Medicago truncatula: one gene and its partner. Each later gene encodes a partner of the first gene's protein in a complex. Links are inferred from orthologs where the notes say so. Each region holds a gene or a part of one and is shown on either strand. Other genes may lie near its edges.

Evidence for each region. Proteins that work in one complex are often made in the same cells at the same time.
Region 2: glutamyl-tRNA(Gln) amidotransferase subunit A, chloroplastic/mitochondrial (region 1) and glutamyl-tRNA(Gln) amidotransferase subunit C, chloroplastic/mitochondrial share a complex: the UniProt entries of both Arabidopsis thaliana proteins name them as parts of the heterotrimeric GatCAB amidotransferase (AdT) complex. The link is inferred for Medicago truncatula from reciprocal best matches to the Arabidopsis thaliana genes AT3G25660 and AT4G32915.

The regions. Positions count from the first base shown.
Region 1 is NC_053044.1:22,450,627-22,458,454, reverse strand, and holds the start of glutamyl-tRNA(Gln) amidotransferase subunit A, chloroplastic/mitochondrial, read left to right. Parts: upstream 1-4,815; 5' UTR 4,816-4,891; coding exon 4,892-5,416; intron 5,417-7,828. UniProt on the Arabidopsis thaliana protein: Allows the formation of correctly charged Gln-tRNA(Gln) through the transamidation of misacylated Glu-tRNA(Gln) in chloroplasts and mitochondria. The reaction takes place in the presence of glutamine and ATP through an activated gamma-phospho-Glu-tRNA(Gln).
Region 2 is NC_053042.1:46,835,745-46,843,313, forward strand, and holds the start of glutamyl-tRNA(Gln) amidotransferase subunit C, chloroplastic/mitochondrial, read left to right. Parts: upstream 1-4,504; 5' UTR 4,505-4,539; coding exon 4,540-4,722; intron 4,723-4,797; coding exon 4,798-4,838; intron 4,839-5,556; coding exon 5,557-5,612; intron 5,613-7,162; coding exon 7,163-7,211; intron 7,212-7,295; coding exon 7,296-7,371; 3' UTR 7,372-7,569. Other genes in the region: protein GET4, read right to left, coding at 1-65, 677-827, 1,132-1,213, 1,653-1,731, 3,940-4,019, 4,265-4,312. UniProt on the Arabidopsis thaliana protein: Allows the formation of correctly charged Gln-tRNA(Gln) through the transamidation of misacylated Glu-tRNA(Gln) in chloroplasts and mitochondria. The reaction takes place in the presence of glutamine and ATP through an activated gamma-phospho-Glu-tRNA(Gln).

The sequences.
Region 1 (7,828 bases):
TTTGTTTTTTGTTTCTTCGGTGGTCTATTTGCCTCATCCATGTCACTTCCTTTCAATATTCTTCGGTGCTCAATTTGCCTTAATGTTTATGACTTTAATAAATAATAACCACTACCTCTTGCTTCAAACTCCTCTTGCAGAAGTATATTTAAGTGTTTCTGATGAATTAAATCATGTTGTTGAATTGTTGTTCTAGTGTGAATGATAGTATGAATTTGGAAATCAAATATTTAATGAAATTTTTGTTGTTTTTTTTAATTAGAAAAAAAACATGTAATAGTATCATGTGAGACACAAGCTTTTAAGGCGGGTGTAAATTAGTTAAGTTTGCTAACTTGCACCTTATAAATATTTTAAAAATGAGTGTAAATAATTAAGTGGGTGTAGGTTGCTAACATGCATCTTAATAATTTTAGGTGGTGTAATTTGCTAATTTGCAGCTTAGTGTTTTTAGATGGGTGTAAGTTAACAACCCCATATATATATATATATATATATATATATATATTTGTTGTAACCTAATGGACAAGTAACATACAACTTATCTATTTGTTGTATGTGTTATTTGTATTAAAAATTAAGAGTATTTTTGGAAAGAAAAATCCAGCCAAGAAGTGTTTTTTTTTCTTTTTGTTGCAAAAACCCAAAAGTGCCGAAATGGTTAGTTTTCTTTATATATAGTATAAATATATAGTATAGATATAACTACGGAAGTAAATCCTTAAAAAAAAACTACGGAAGTAATATAACTACGGAAATTAAATGACCAACAAAAACACAATTTTTCCCCATCTAAATCTTTTTGACACCTCAACATATATTTACCCTTTTGTGTTTTTTTTTTTTAACAAAAATCCTATTTAAATGAGAGGGAAAATAACTTTCAAAAAATTTATGTGATTTGGCAACATAAAATTTCTTTTATATTGTTGTACCTAAACAATTTAAATTATCTATTACTACTATCTAATTATGAAATTTAATGTCTACCAAAAACACAATCTAGCTCCTTATTAATTTTTTGACACGTCATCAAAATTATATCATTTTGTGTCTTTTACTTCAACTTCCCCCTATTTTTTCTCTCTTAAAAACAAATTAAAATCTTTTATTAAAGAACAAACAAATTTTACTAAAATTTAACTTCTAAATATCTAAGGAGTTAAAAATAATTTAAAATATATTTTATTTTTCTCTAATTCTATTATCTAATTATGAAACTTAATGTCTACCAAAAATACAATCCTACCCCTCCCTAATTTTTTGACACGTTGTCAAAAGTATATCCTTTTGTATTTTTTCTTCAATCTCCCTCAATTTTTTCTATCTTAAAAACAAATTAAAACGAACTCGCTTGATAAAACACACTAACATAAGATTTTTTTTAAAGAACAAACAAACTTAATCTCAATCAAAACAAATTTTCATATAATTCAACTTCTAAATATCTAAAGAGTTAAAAATAATTTACAATCTATTTTTTTTTTTTTTTGGTCAAGTAGCCTAGTGGCTAGAGCTCACACAATTTAATTGTGGAGAAGTGGAGTGTCCGGGGTTCGAACCCCGGCTCCTGCATATAATATGCAATATCCCTACCAACTGAGCTAAACTCACGGGGATATTTACAATCTATTTTATCTTTCGCTAATTATGAAAGTTAATGACAAATAAAAACTCAATTTTGCCCCATCTTAATATTTTGACTCCTCAACATGTTTAGATCTTATTTAGTTTATGATGTTCATATGATTATTTTAGGATGTAATAGAACTACCTTCGTATCAGTTTTTCTTTTGTAGGTAATCCAATGAAAAAAAATGACAATTGTTTACATATTTAATCTAAAAAAATATTCACTTATCACAGGCATTAGATCTGACTCAGATATAGCCCAAAACAGGGATAGAACATAATAAATCAGACCGAGTAGATCAACCCTAATCTATCCTAAAAAAATTCACTAATCACGGGCTCAACCAAGCGAACCGGTATATGGATGTGAAACGAACTTACAAAAAAAGTATGAAAAGTGAACATCTGCGAAGAACAATTAATAGATCGACCTTTTTCAAACAAAATAATAATGGATCGACCGTTAGCATGATATCAAAATCCAAGTTCCAACAGATAGTTGAACAAATTAGCAAGCATAAAAACTCTTTCGAGTTTGAAGAACTAGAGTGTATGCAAACAAGACGCCTTGAAACCTGCAGATTTCAACATATTTAGAAACAACAGAGAATCAAAGAAGTCAGACCACCATGTCATATTATAAATAATATTTATATTGTTGTAGATTATTAATTATTATATCTTTCAGAAATATGACTATAAAAAACACAGTAAAAAAATGATAAATAAGTCTTTAAATAATATAGTTGTACAGTTCATACACGTGACTCATAACGACATCTTTATTAATAATGAAATCTTTATTATTTTTAATATTTTTATCATGTTTTTTTTATTATGTTTTTTCTTTATCAATAATGACACCACTTCATAATATTTAATAACAAAAATTTCAATGACTTTATCATGGGAAAATTAGTCTTAAAAAAAAGGGCTTATTACACCAACCTTCTTTAAGGTCTTCTTAAATAACACAAATATCCGCTCTATTTTATAACTAAACACTAATCTTCCTTATTTTTTTTTTTAACAAATTGACAAGCACTTCCCTTATAATATAAGGTTTAAATTGTCAATTCCATTTTTTTTAGCAATTAACTTCTTCATACGAGTTTGGTCTAACTTAATTTTTGACTATTTTTTTCTTCTATTTTTCATTTAGGTGATTTTTTTTCCAAATTATTGTTTCTCAGTCAAGGTTGTTTAATTTTCAAACTCTAATGTAATAAAACGAGTATATCGAAAATTATTTCCTTTTCATTGATCAACCACAATGTCCATCCACCAAAATTCTTCTCATTTCCATATTCTCTTTTGATCTCTTCTGTAATTGCCGATGTTTTGTTGTATTTGATGGTAAAAACAAATGTTGTTATTGTTTTTCTTTATTGTGAAAAAAAAACCTCATTTAACTTAATTGTCAAAAGAGAAAACAGATACAAAAAAATCAAAATGACCGACCTTAAATTGTATGTATACAAAGTTATTGAAATGGATAAAATGAGGGGAGATGATGCGTTTGAAAAATTAGAAGGGGCACTTGTGTTATAAAAAATAATCCCAAAGGAATTCAATGCAATCTGCCCTTTTATTATTACTGTGGACTTTATCAGCAGTTTTTTTTTTCTTCTTTCTCTTCTTATTTTCTCAACTTATATAACATTACAATGTGTTTTAATACATAACCCTCTACTTCTTATTAGCCCTGTACGGAACACGGGCCCGTGCTTAGCAAAGGTTTGTTGCTAGTTGACGACTAGAAAGCGGATGTTACAACCTACAAGGATTTGTGTTTCAACCCCTAAAAAAATATGAGGAATGCTAGGGTCATACCCTCTAACACACTCCTCTAACACACTCCACTCACAATTTGCCATGTCATCCAGTTTTTTAACACCTTGACTTGCAACCGGTTTCCACCATCCTTCATTATATTTATTACTTATTATTTATTATTATTTGGATTTAATTAAAAAATAGTAATTAAAGATTTTCATCTTCCTGCGCTTCAACCTCCCATCCAGAACAGACTCTTCAAGTTCAGGATTAAACAATGGAACCTAAAAACATCACCATAGAAAACATGATCCATACAAACAATTTTTTCACTTTGGATAAAATTCATGTTTCGAACTTCAATTTCCACAATCTTTTTTCATCAAATTTCAATCCCCACAATCTTTCTTCAATTCAAACATCAAAGCCCGAATCTTTCTAATTAAACTTCATAACAGGGTTCCCATTAAACAGGCCAGATTTGGGTATCTTTGTTTATAGGTTCAATACAAACCACAATCTCTCTCCCTCGTATCAGGTTATCGATCCAAAGTAAAAAAATTGTTTGTATGAATCCGATGCTTATAAAAATCATGAACAGAATACCCATGGCAGATCCACCTTTATAAGAATTGTAGAATTTTCCTCTGTAGAGAGCAAGGGAGTCTCGGAGAAGATGAAGTCAGAGTTTAAGTTAAAGAAAAAATAAAATAAAAAGCGTTGTTATTTCTCAACCTGTAGAACAGATTAACAAGTAAAAGAATAAAAAATGGAGGTGATGTGGCCTCATGTCATTGGAGGGTGTTAAAAGAGTGTGTCCTTAGCATTTCTCAAAAAATATTGGAGTTTCATGAAATATATGGTTCGGTTCAGTTAGTAAACCCATTTCATGAAAACTGTTTTTTTAGCAAAAATAAGTTTCGATTTTGGTCAGAACCGATTTAGACCTGATTTGTAAGAAAACTGGTTTTAATCCTAATTTCTTCCATCACCATTTCAATTCTTCAATGGATTATAAACATCAATACAATTCTCTTCTCCAATTCAATCAAAATTCAACAAAATAAGAATCAAACACTCTAAATCTCCCTAACCCTCTATTCAACATTTTCAATTTCCTCTCTCGTCCCACTCCATTTCTCTGCATTGACTTTCTCTGGAAGAAACTGAGAGTTACTCTAAAAGAAAAACTTTCCATAGGAAGCACAAAAGGATTAACATAACAATTCATAACCAACTGTTTTGAGTAAATTGAATTTGGACGAAAACCGGTTTTCATAAAAGGTAACCAGGGTTGTGGTTCTCTTAAAAAAAAAAACCAGTGTTGTGGGTATGGTTCATGTGAACCGGTTTTAACGCACACCACTTAAACTAGGATTTTTCTACAGTACGATAACTTCATACTTGTTTGGAGAGAAAGTTGAGCTAGGATCGTTATATCTTCTTTTCTCTCACATTCATTCACACTCACTCTAAAGTGAAAATGAAAATGCTATCCACACTCCAAACCCCACGTTCCACTCTCTCACGCTTCTCCCTTCCATCATCCACAATCACCACTCAAGCTATTCTCACACACCCCCAACCTACCACTGCACCCCCCTCTCAAATCCTCACCCTCCGCCACTCCCTTCTCACCAACACCCTCTCCGCCACCGACCTCATCCAATCCCACCTCACCCGCATCCGTCTCACCGAACCCCACCTCCGTTCCTTCCTCCACCTCCCTTCCGACCAATCCCTCCTCGATCAGGCACATGACCTCGACCGCAGAATCGCTGCGGGGGAGGAAGTTGGTCCTCTTGCTGGTGTTCTTGTTGCTGTTAAGGATAATATTTGTACGGCTGACATGCCGTCGACTGGTGGGTCGAGGATACTTGATGGTTATCGGCCGCCGTTTGATGCGACGGCGGTGAAGAGAGTTAAGGAGTTGGGTGGGATTGTTGTTGGGAAGACGAATATGGATGAGTTTGGTATGGGAAGTACCACTGAAGCTTCTGCATTTCAGGTTCTAACACTCTCTTTATATATTCTTTATATATATATGTTCAATTTCAAGTTGTTTTTTTTTTTTTTTTTTTTTTTTTTTTTTTTTTTTAAGTTTATTCATATACCTTATTTGAAACTTTTTACCATAATTTAAATTTTAAAGTGAATATTATTCTCAAGTTCTTTGACCGTGTTAATGTTAATCTGAGGTTAGTTTTTTTGTTTTGTTTGGCACACCTCAATTTAGGTCCTTGAAAGTATAACTTGCTGTCATATTGGTTTCTGAAGGTATCGATATTTCAAACACATCCACAAGAGCATTTTTTATTAGTCATTTTAGTCCTCAAATCTGTTTTTAGGTTGTCAATTTAATCTTTGAATGTGTTTTTCCTTGGTTAATTTTGTCCTTAAAATTACTGTTAAATTAGGTGCTAGGGATGTGTTTGCAATTTCAATAACTTTAGGGACTATAGTGTCAAATTATGAGTGTTTGAAAAAAGGTTCGTGACTCTGTTAAATTTTACTCATATTATATCTTCTGAGTATGTTAGTTAGGGACTAAATTGATAGTGAGTTGTTAAATGTAGGGAACAAATTGATAGTAAGTGGTGTTTCCTCATCCAACTTAGGCTCTGGTAGATTTCTGTACTCACATGTTGTTTCCTCATCCAACTTAGGCAAATAGAAGCTCCAAGCCAGTGTACTAGCTGCTGCACAGAAGTATATATAGGATAACATGTTGAATTCTTTAGCATAGTTTAGTGCTTCGACAGCAAAAGCATGAACCACCAAGGCCACAAGGGGAGTCCATAAAGCAAGAGTCTTCAATGCCTCATGTAAATATGGGAGAGAATTAGTAACTGTGAGCTGAATTTGGATTTCCAAGGCAGTCCTTGAGGTAGGTCATCAGGTTGAACCGGTGGAAGAAACATGTGGTTGATATTTGATGGAAGAGTTTGAAGGATGGGTTCTGAGGAACTTGGGGGAGAACCAAGTGTGCGAATGATACATGTGGCATGAATGTCTGGATGAAGATGGATAAGTAACTTTGAGAATTGAAGAATAGGGACTAAGTGTCCATACCCAACACCTGGAACAACTGCAATGTGAATTGTTTTATCCATGGAAATTTGATGCTAAGTTCATGAATGAAACTCATGCAGCCAAAAACTTGTATAGATTTTAAAGCCAATTTTGAAATAATGTATTTCGAATATGGGTTGAAAGTTTGGTTTTAAGATTTTTTGGTATAAACCAGTGTTTCTATATTTCACAACTTCCATTCATGTGCCATGTACTAACCTAAAACAATACATATTGAGAATGTCACCCTACAGTCAACATTACCTTACATTTAACCTAAAACAATACATATTGTTAGATACATTTAGGGCAATAACTAGATTTGAACTAACAGAAGCTTAAGCACATATAACGTACTTACTCCTGTAAGTTGTTAAAATATAGGGACCTAATTGATATTAAGTGGTCAGATAAAGGGCTCAATTTGAAAGTTTAATAGAGTCAATGATTTTTTCAAATATATATAATGTCAGGGACCTATTTGAGAGCGCCATACAAAGTCTGAGACTAGTTTGGTGGCTTATTAAATCCATTTCATTTTTTTTTGTTGCTTTGTGTTGTAGTGCATTTGTGTTTGTTTTTTTTTTATTCGGTAGTTGTTTGTTTGTTCTGTTGATTTTGAAGATCAACATGTTTTTGTTTTCCAGTTTGGGTGGGCATTTAAGCTGAATTACAATTTAGTTTGTATGCTACCCTTGTTTTTTGAACTTTTAGATATATATTTTATAATTGTTGATGATTTTAATATGAGAGATTTTTAGATACATTAGTGTGGGGTTAGTGTTGGTGAGGAATCATGATGTTTGATGATCCACTTGGCTGATGTCAGTCATGTTGAGCGGTGTGATAAAAGAATAGTGTCGTATGCTAGGTGCATCTAAGAACGTCCCCTCTCAAATTTCAAATGCCCAGTTTGTAATATTAGAAGTAAATGTGAGATGGTTTGAGTGGTGACATTATGTGGTTACTTGATTCAGTTATCTTGTGTTTAACAATTGAATTAAGTTTGTGAGCATGGGTTCCAGCATTTGTTTGGAGAGAAAATGAGAAGAATGAAAATTGAAAATCGGATGTCCTACAGTTGCTTTATGGGGCAGCAGCTATAGAGACCATTTTATTTAGATTTAGAGAGATTGCAGAGGATCTGAGTCAGGTGAAATTGTTGATGAATGACCTGATGGACCCATAATGTGATGCATTGCTAAATTTGTATTTTTGTCATTACAAAACATACAAATAGTGGGGCTGTGTTGTTTTTTCTCCGTCTGTGGGTGGGTTGGCTAAGCTTTGATAGAGTTCTGTTTGTAGCTTTATTACTTGTACGCCTATTTATAACTGAGATATGTTT
Region 2 (7,569 bases), on another chromosome or scaffold:
ATTCAGCCAGCATAATGTGCAGTTCTGGAGCTCCACTACCACTTGTTCCAAATTCAGCAGACCACCTGGATAAAATAGCAGCAAAGCCAGAAATATTGCTAAGAGGTACAAATAATTGCACATAAATACAAAAGCATGCAACTCACTTGTAAAAGGCTCCATACCACTTGAAAGAGACTTATTTAATTAAGTATCATTATATAATTCGTGTTATGAAGCATAAATACACAAAAGCACACTGTAATTCCAACAAAAGTTACAAAGCCTAAATTGAAATTCTACATGCTTGGAGATTCTATTCTAGAACACATGCTGTGTTATAGATATCAAAAGGATCTTTCTATAGCTTTTATGTGAACTGACTCTGTATTTTTTTTTATGAAGGGTCCGCTTAACAAGACAACCTTATGATTTTACAAAAATTATGTCAGCGATCTTTCTATAGCTTTTATGTGAACTGAACTCTATTTTTTTAAGGGTCGGCTTAACAAGACAACCTTATGATTTTATAAAAATTATGTCAGCCATATGTCTTGATAGCCATACAACACTCAACAAACGAGGGTGCAGTAAAAGCAAAGTATAATCTATTTTCACATTCACTTGCATGGAAAAGAGAGGGGATCAGTAAAAGTAAAGTATAATCTATAATATTTTAATTTTTGAGAAGTCTCACTTGATAGCAGCTTTTAAGAACGAGGAGCAGCCCTCAACACGTGTTTTTGCACTTCCAAGGTTTTCTGAAAGTTGCTGCATGTCATCAACATCCCAAAGGTGTTGTGGTAATGGAACCCGAGGAAACCCTTCATAGATTTTTTTTAGACGATCTGCCATTAAAATTTATTGTAGTTAGTAACAAGCATGAATGTTCTGTGACCAAATATTATATAATCTAAATAAGATTAGAAAAAATATATTACTGAAGAATAAATATAATAAAAGCAAATACATGTAAATCACCAAATTAAAAATCTCATGGGATTAAACTCATGAGTTAAAACAAAATATAATAAAAGCAAGTGTTCTAAACTGACCATAGGACAAAAAGAAAATAACTTACATTGCATCACAGGCTCAAAAAATAAACTACTGATAAATAATTGAAGGGTAAAAGAAAGGATAAGAACGCACCAAGAGTTCCATCATCATAAGGAATTTTCCCTTTTACTAATGTCTCCACAAACAATAAAGCAAGCTCTGCTCCACAGGTAACCTTAGATAAATAGAAGATAAAACTTAAACTTTTTTGTTTGTCAATTGTTAAAACTATTTGCATATATTCTTATCATAAAGTTAAAAATTAAAACTAAATGTAAATTTGGATAGAAATGTCAAAAGGATTCAGGATCCTCCATCTGTGCCTTTCCTTTCTCTCTTGATCACTTCTTCATTCATTTAGTTTTCCTAAAAGCAAGTAACTTTTAGCAGCCTATGTTTTCAGGTCACTTCTTCATTCATTTAGTTTTCCTAAAAGCAAGTAACTTTTAGCAGCCTATGTTTTCAGGTGTCCCAAAAATGTAGCAAATATCTTTGTCCATCCAAGTCATAAGGCAACAATGAAAAAGCTAATAATTTCTCATACGTGGCTAATAAAGATCATAAAGTTGATTAAAGTATATCTCAAAAGAAAACAAAATAGAAAGTAGTAGAACCTGCCCATGAGCCAATTGAATGCATGCTCCTGAATGTAGGATATCTAATGCTTCAGTGTACCTCTGAGCAGTTACATATCTGCAGAAAAACGTGTACGCACATCAGTTTCTACTCTCTGTAACTCAATTGATCAGTATGTATTAGTTGATTCAGTTGTCAACCAAAATAATAAAGCTTGACTTTAACAAGCACCCTCTAATTACACAACACTCCAATTATAAGCACCAAATAACGGCTCCTTCTACCATGCATAAATTGCATAGGTCTTGTACTGTGCAAGACCTTTTTAAACTCCTTGATAAAAAAAAGTAAAAAAACTCCACCAAAATTAATGATATACCCTCTATACCTATTAGAGATGTAACATTAGTTACATATTAGTTAGATTAGTTAGAAGTTAGTTGGTTTAATTAACTGTATACGCTTTAATGTACTACTTGATGCAACAATTCAATCATAAACAATATTATTTCCATTTCACTTTTCTATACTTTTCTCTCAATTATGAGTTCTATCAAGAATTGTAATATCTTTCCTCTCTCCCCTTTGGCACTGTTTCAATTTATCTCTTCCGCCGTTTCCTTCCTCCACCTCCACATCAAACCCTTCATCTTCTAATACATCACAGAAACAAAATTATGCTTTGGAAGGTGCTTATAAATTATAATTATGGGGTACAATTTGACTTGTCGTCTTGGTGTGATTTATAAGAAAGGAATTACAGAAACTCGATGTTTCGAAACTAAAATTACATGGTTATGGCATTTACATCTATTGACTATTCCGTAGTTTTTGTTTTATTTGCTTTACTTAAAACATCAATATCTTTCTCAGCAACATGCATAACTTTTTTTATTTCAATGAACATAACCAATTGTTTTGAATGTGACTGTGTTGAATTCTTTGCTGCTCAGTCATAGCAAATAGTTCAACTCAATTTTGGTAATTGTGAGTATTACCTGTGAACTAGATAATATAGATACGGTAGCGGGTGTCATTTCAATGATCATCAAGGGTTGACGTGAGTATTACATGTGGACAGTGAATCGTAAAGGGGGTAGGGGTGATGGCAGCAGATTGGATGAATGGTGGGTCTTTGGTTGGAGGTGTAGTAGCTCTGGTTCTGTGACAGTAGTAGATGGTCACGACGGTTTCTGGGTTTTGGAGCGAAGGGGTATGCTATAGATGATCTAATATAACTGTAGTGGGAATAATATAAATCTACAGTTAAAAAAGTGAAGCTTGGTGCACAACCTAAACACCTCATGCACCCTAGAATTTGCCCCAAATAACAACATACGATGTATAAACGGCGAAGAACCCTGCATTTTTCACGCCTCCAAAAACTCTAAACCGGTTTATAAGAAAATACTCCAAAGTCCTAACATTGTCCATAAGGAAATACCTCCTATAACTCAGCATTCACCAAAGTTTCCAAAAGTTTACACTACATGAAACTGCACTGTCCAGCTCAAAAAAGAACATAAATATTACAAAAATCTAGGGTATATCTATTCTCTACATCAAATCTTTAGCATTGATTCTGTACCTGTCCTTCTGACTCTGACTGACCACCAATACAAACTACTATTGTTCACATTTAACTAATCTGCCACCCCAAATTTGTGACTTTTTTCCTGAGTTAATCTAATAAACTATGTACATGCAGATGAAAGGAAATAACTACGGAAAACTTAATTATTTACAATTTTATAATTTTCACATTGAAGATAAAATGAAGAGTACATAATAAAAATTTATGTTGAAGAATAGAGCTGTACAGCACGGTAGGGTCAGTACCCTTGGATTCTCGGAGCGCCTTTGCCCTTCAGCCTTGACACTTGGGGGGCTGTGTACAGTATTGTGGGATTTTTTTTTAATGGTATATGTTAGTAGTTTGTTGTTAGATTCCTTCGTCTGGGTTTTAACCCACGACCTCGAACTCCATTAACCTTTAGCTCAAACCAGTTGAGCTACCCAACCCCCATAGTATCGTGGGATCTCCCCAAAGCACAGGAATCAGGTTTTTACGATCGACCAAAGGAGCCCAAGTGCTTACCGAGCGAGCACATCACGGCCCTCCGGATGTCTGCCCACATGACGGCACCCGCCAAAAGCTCTAGGAGGGAGCACTATAAAAGGAGGTCATAGTCCCTAGGGTAGGAATTCCATTCTTTCTTCAACGCACTTACACGAAAATCCTTTGGCACCACTCCCTCATTCTTTCTAGAACAAAAACACATAACATAAACTTGGTAAAAAGTAACAACAAGAAATTGTTCAAACCTGGCACTAATGGATTTATACATCTGTTGAGCTCCATAACAATTTCCATCTTTCACAACTTTCTCCAATTTTTCAACATTCTGCAATTCACACCATATTTAATCAAAAACCTCAACAACAACAACAATAACAGCAATAACAAAACCCAGAAATAAAAACAATAATGAAAACACATAAAGCATAACCCACAAAATTAATTTTCAATCAATGCACCAAAAACCACATCGAAAATAAATAAAAATCAATTTTTTAATTAAAAAGAGTAATTTTTTAACGAATGTGAATAAAGAAGAAACAAAATTAATGGATATTCGATTTTGGGTACCTCATCAGCGGGTGGAAGTTCGAATCTTTTGGATCTCTGCCGCGCCATGGTGATGAAATTTCTCTCCGTGGAGGATTTTGCAAAAGAGGGAAGAATAAAAGGGGAAAAGAAAAAAAGAAAATTATCTTATTTATAGAAGGACTTCTGTGAGAATTTTCAATTTCTTCGGGGACTAAATTGGAAATTTAAAAACATTGGCAATAAAAGCAACGATTTTTAGAGTTTTGTTGAGATTGAGATTGAGAGGGATAAGGATTTTGTAGAATTTAAGGAAGATGAGTAGCAAAGTGTTGTTACTCAGAGGAACACCATTATCGTTATCATTGTCGAATTCGAAAATCCAACACAAGTTGTTACAGTTTCGTAGGTTGTCTTCAAAAACAAATTGTTCCTCTCTAGAACCTCCAAATGTGTCTCATTTGGCAAAAACAGCTCACATCTCTCTTACCCCAACTGAGGTTTTTTTTTTCTTTCAAATTAGAAATATTCTTTTTTAAAATTTCTAATAGTAATAATGATTTATGTTATTTCAGGTTGAAGAATTTGGTCCTAAAATTCAGCAGGTGATAGGCTGGTAAGTAAAATAAAAACTCTTATTTTATTTGGCTATTTTTATAGTAATTTGATAGGATAATTGAGGAACAATTGAATCACAAAGATGTACCAACACTGGATTCTCAGTGTTAGCCCACCACCTGTTTGTTAAAATACCCCTTCCACCCACCTTTTATTCCAACACCATTTTCTGCATTATGGTAAGATTCATACATCCATAATTGAACTAGAATAAGTAACAATGATTTATGTGGATAATACTTTAATTACCCTTTACTCTATGTTGAAGCCTAATGTTTGCCTTAGTTACGTGGGACAGTATGGCCACAATGTGAAGTGGATATTGTTGGGGTATACGGTGGAGTCTGCTACAGGGATTTTAGAGGTCTCAAAGGGTTATTCTAGTCTTAGAAAAGTTGAAACGAGGGAATGTTATTGTTTTTGCAAACATGTTTATGCACTGACCATTGTTTCAACATAATTCAATCTTTTACGGGGGTTATTGGAAGAAATTCGACAACCTTGAGGTAGATAGTGATGTCATTCATGTTGTTTGGGTCCAATGTTTGTTAGCATGGATGTTTCATTAATGGAAAACAAACTAAATTGAAAGTGTATTTTGTACGACGTTGGATATCGTGTTGCGTTTTGTTTGTCGAAATATGACAGCTCGTGAGGCTTAACATTTTGTTTCTAAAGGTACCAAAACTTCAAATTTAGATTGACTTGTCTGTCAGGTTTGGACAACTGCAGGGTGTTGATCTCCAAAGCGTTGAGCCCTCCATAAGAGCAGGTGCTCTCAAAACCAATATTCTAATTTCCATTTATTAATCATTTCATATCCTTGTTTTGGATTTTCTCTAATGTTTGTTTGCATACATTTTCATGTGAGCAAACCTTAACTTTTGAAATACAAAAGAAAAAGTTATGTTATGTTTCCATGGAGATGGTTTCTTATGTTGTTAAATTCTGTTGTATGTTAGTTGTTCATGGTTTGGTTCAGGTAGAAGTAGAAAACCAAACGAAACTGAACCAGAAAAGTATGAACTGAACTAATTATATATTATTTATTAACTCAACGTGATTGTGTCAGAACTTGAAACATCCTTTGTTTAGCATGTGGCAATTTCGGTAGCTTTTTCATCATTGAAATAAAAAATGGACAAGACCTTTCAACCATATGATTTTTCTAGTGACTAAGATGAAAATAAAATAGGCAAAAGATGAAAATAAAAAAAACAGTCTTCAAGATATACAATATATAGTTTATTAACTCATACACGTTGGTGTAGCTTATTAAATTATGAACAAAACAAACTATAAACAATTAACTTGCATTTACGATTCATTCATTCTGAACAAATAACTAAAACTAAAGAACAGTGCAGTCAAAAATCTGAAAACTATGTTGTTTATGGGTTTTTCATTTTTTGCCATGTTTGAGGCACCACAGGTTTGTGAAATTACAGATTTAGAATTTATTGTTCTTATAAATTATGATGTTTTTATTTAGGTTTCAGATGTTTCTTAGAGTGGAAATGATAAGAATTGACCTTTGTAGCATGTCAGTAATTCAGCAATCTAAGATTGTTTTATCTAGGATATAAGCTTTAGACCATATGTGAAAGCATAACTGAGAGTCTAGTTCACAAATTGTCAATCACTGCTCGATTTGTGAACTATGGTGCAAATTGTTCTTTCTGGTGCAGTTTGGTTAGCGAACTGTGTTTAAAATACCAGTTCAGTCTGTGCTGAACTGTACAAAATGGTTCAGTTTTTATAGCGCAAATTCGGTTTAGTTCAGTAGTTCGGTTCAGATCTTGGGGTTTTAACAGCCCTGGTTATGAGTCGGTAGGCTGTAGCCTTCATTCATGAACTGAAAACACATGGTTTGTATCTATTTTGTATTCACAGAGAAATGTCGGTGCTATTGCTGTCTTACACAAATAGGAAATCAATACTTTATTAAATGTTCCATATTATTTGCTTTCTTCTCATTGCTTTCCTATACTTCACTTGGTCGTGCAAGTTTGTTTGAATATATTTTATATTTTATACAGTGGAGCATTTTGGTTTTTTTTTTTTTTTTGACAAAGGAGCAAATTTTCTAGGGTGCTCGAATTTCCACTTTATTTTATCATAAACAAAATGAAGAGGGTAGATGAGTATCATGCCCTACAATAAGTTTCCATCATTTAATATATTAAGTGATTCTCTCTTGACATGCCTCTGCACCTGATTTTAATTCCTTTAACGTTTTTTAAATGAGTGGTAGAAAACATTTGTTGCTTGTTGGCTTGGCTTTATGTGTTTAGTTTCTAATTTTTTTAATGTTATCTGCAGATACTGAAAACAATTTGCGTGACAATACTCCTGAAACATTTGATCAACGGTGAGTTGTTTATTCATTATTTGTAAATTGGGCATATTGCATAGCCGACTGACGGTGCCTGATAGATTGCTATATCCTTGACAGGGATGCCATCCTCGCTTCCATTCCAACCTATGAGGAGCCCTACATTAAAGTTCCAAAAGTCCTAAATGTGGACTAGAGTTTCTTATTTGAGTTATTTTGCTTAAAAGAAACTCATGAAGACTATTGCCTTGTACCTTGAATTTCTTGGTTTTTTATATGAAACCATCTCTTATTTTGAATTTTCATGATGGAAATCGTCATGGACACTGTACTTAGACAAACTTTGAAATCTTCATCATCATAATTTGACAATTATTTAACGTGCTTGATAATG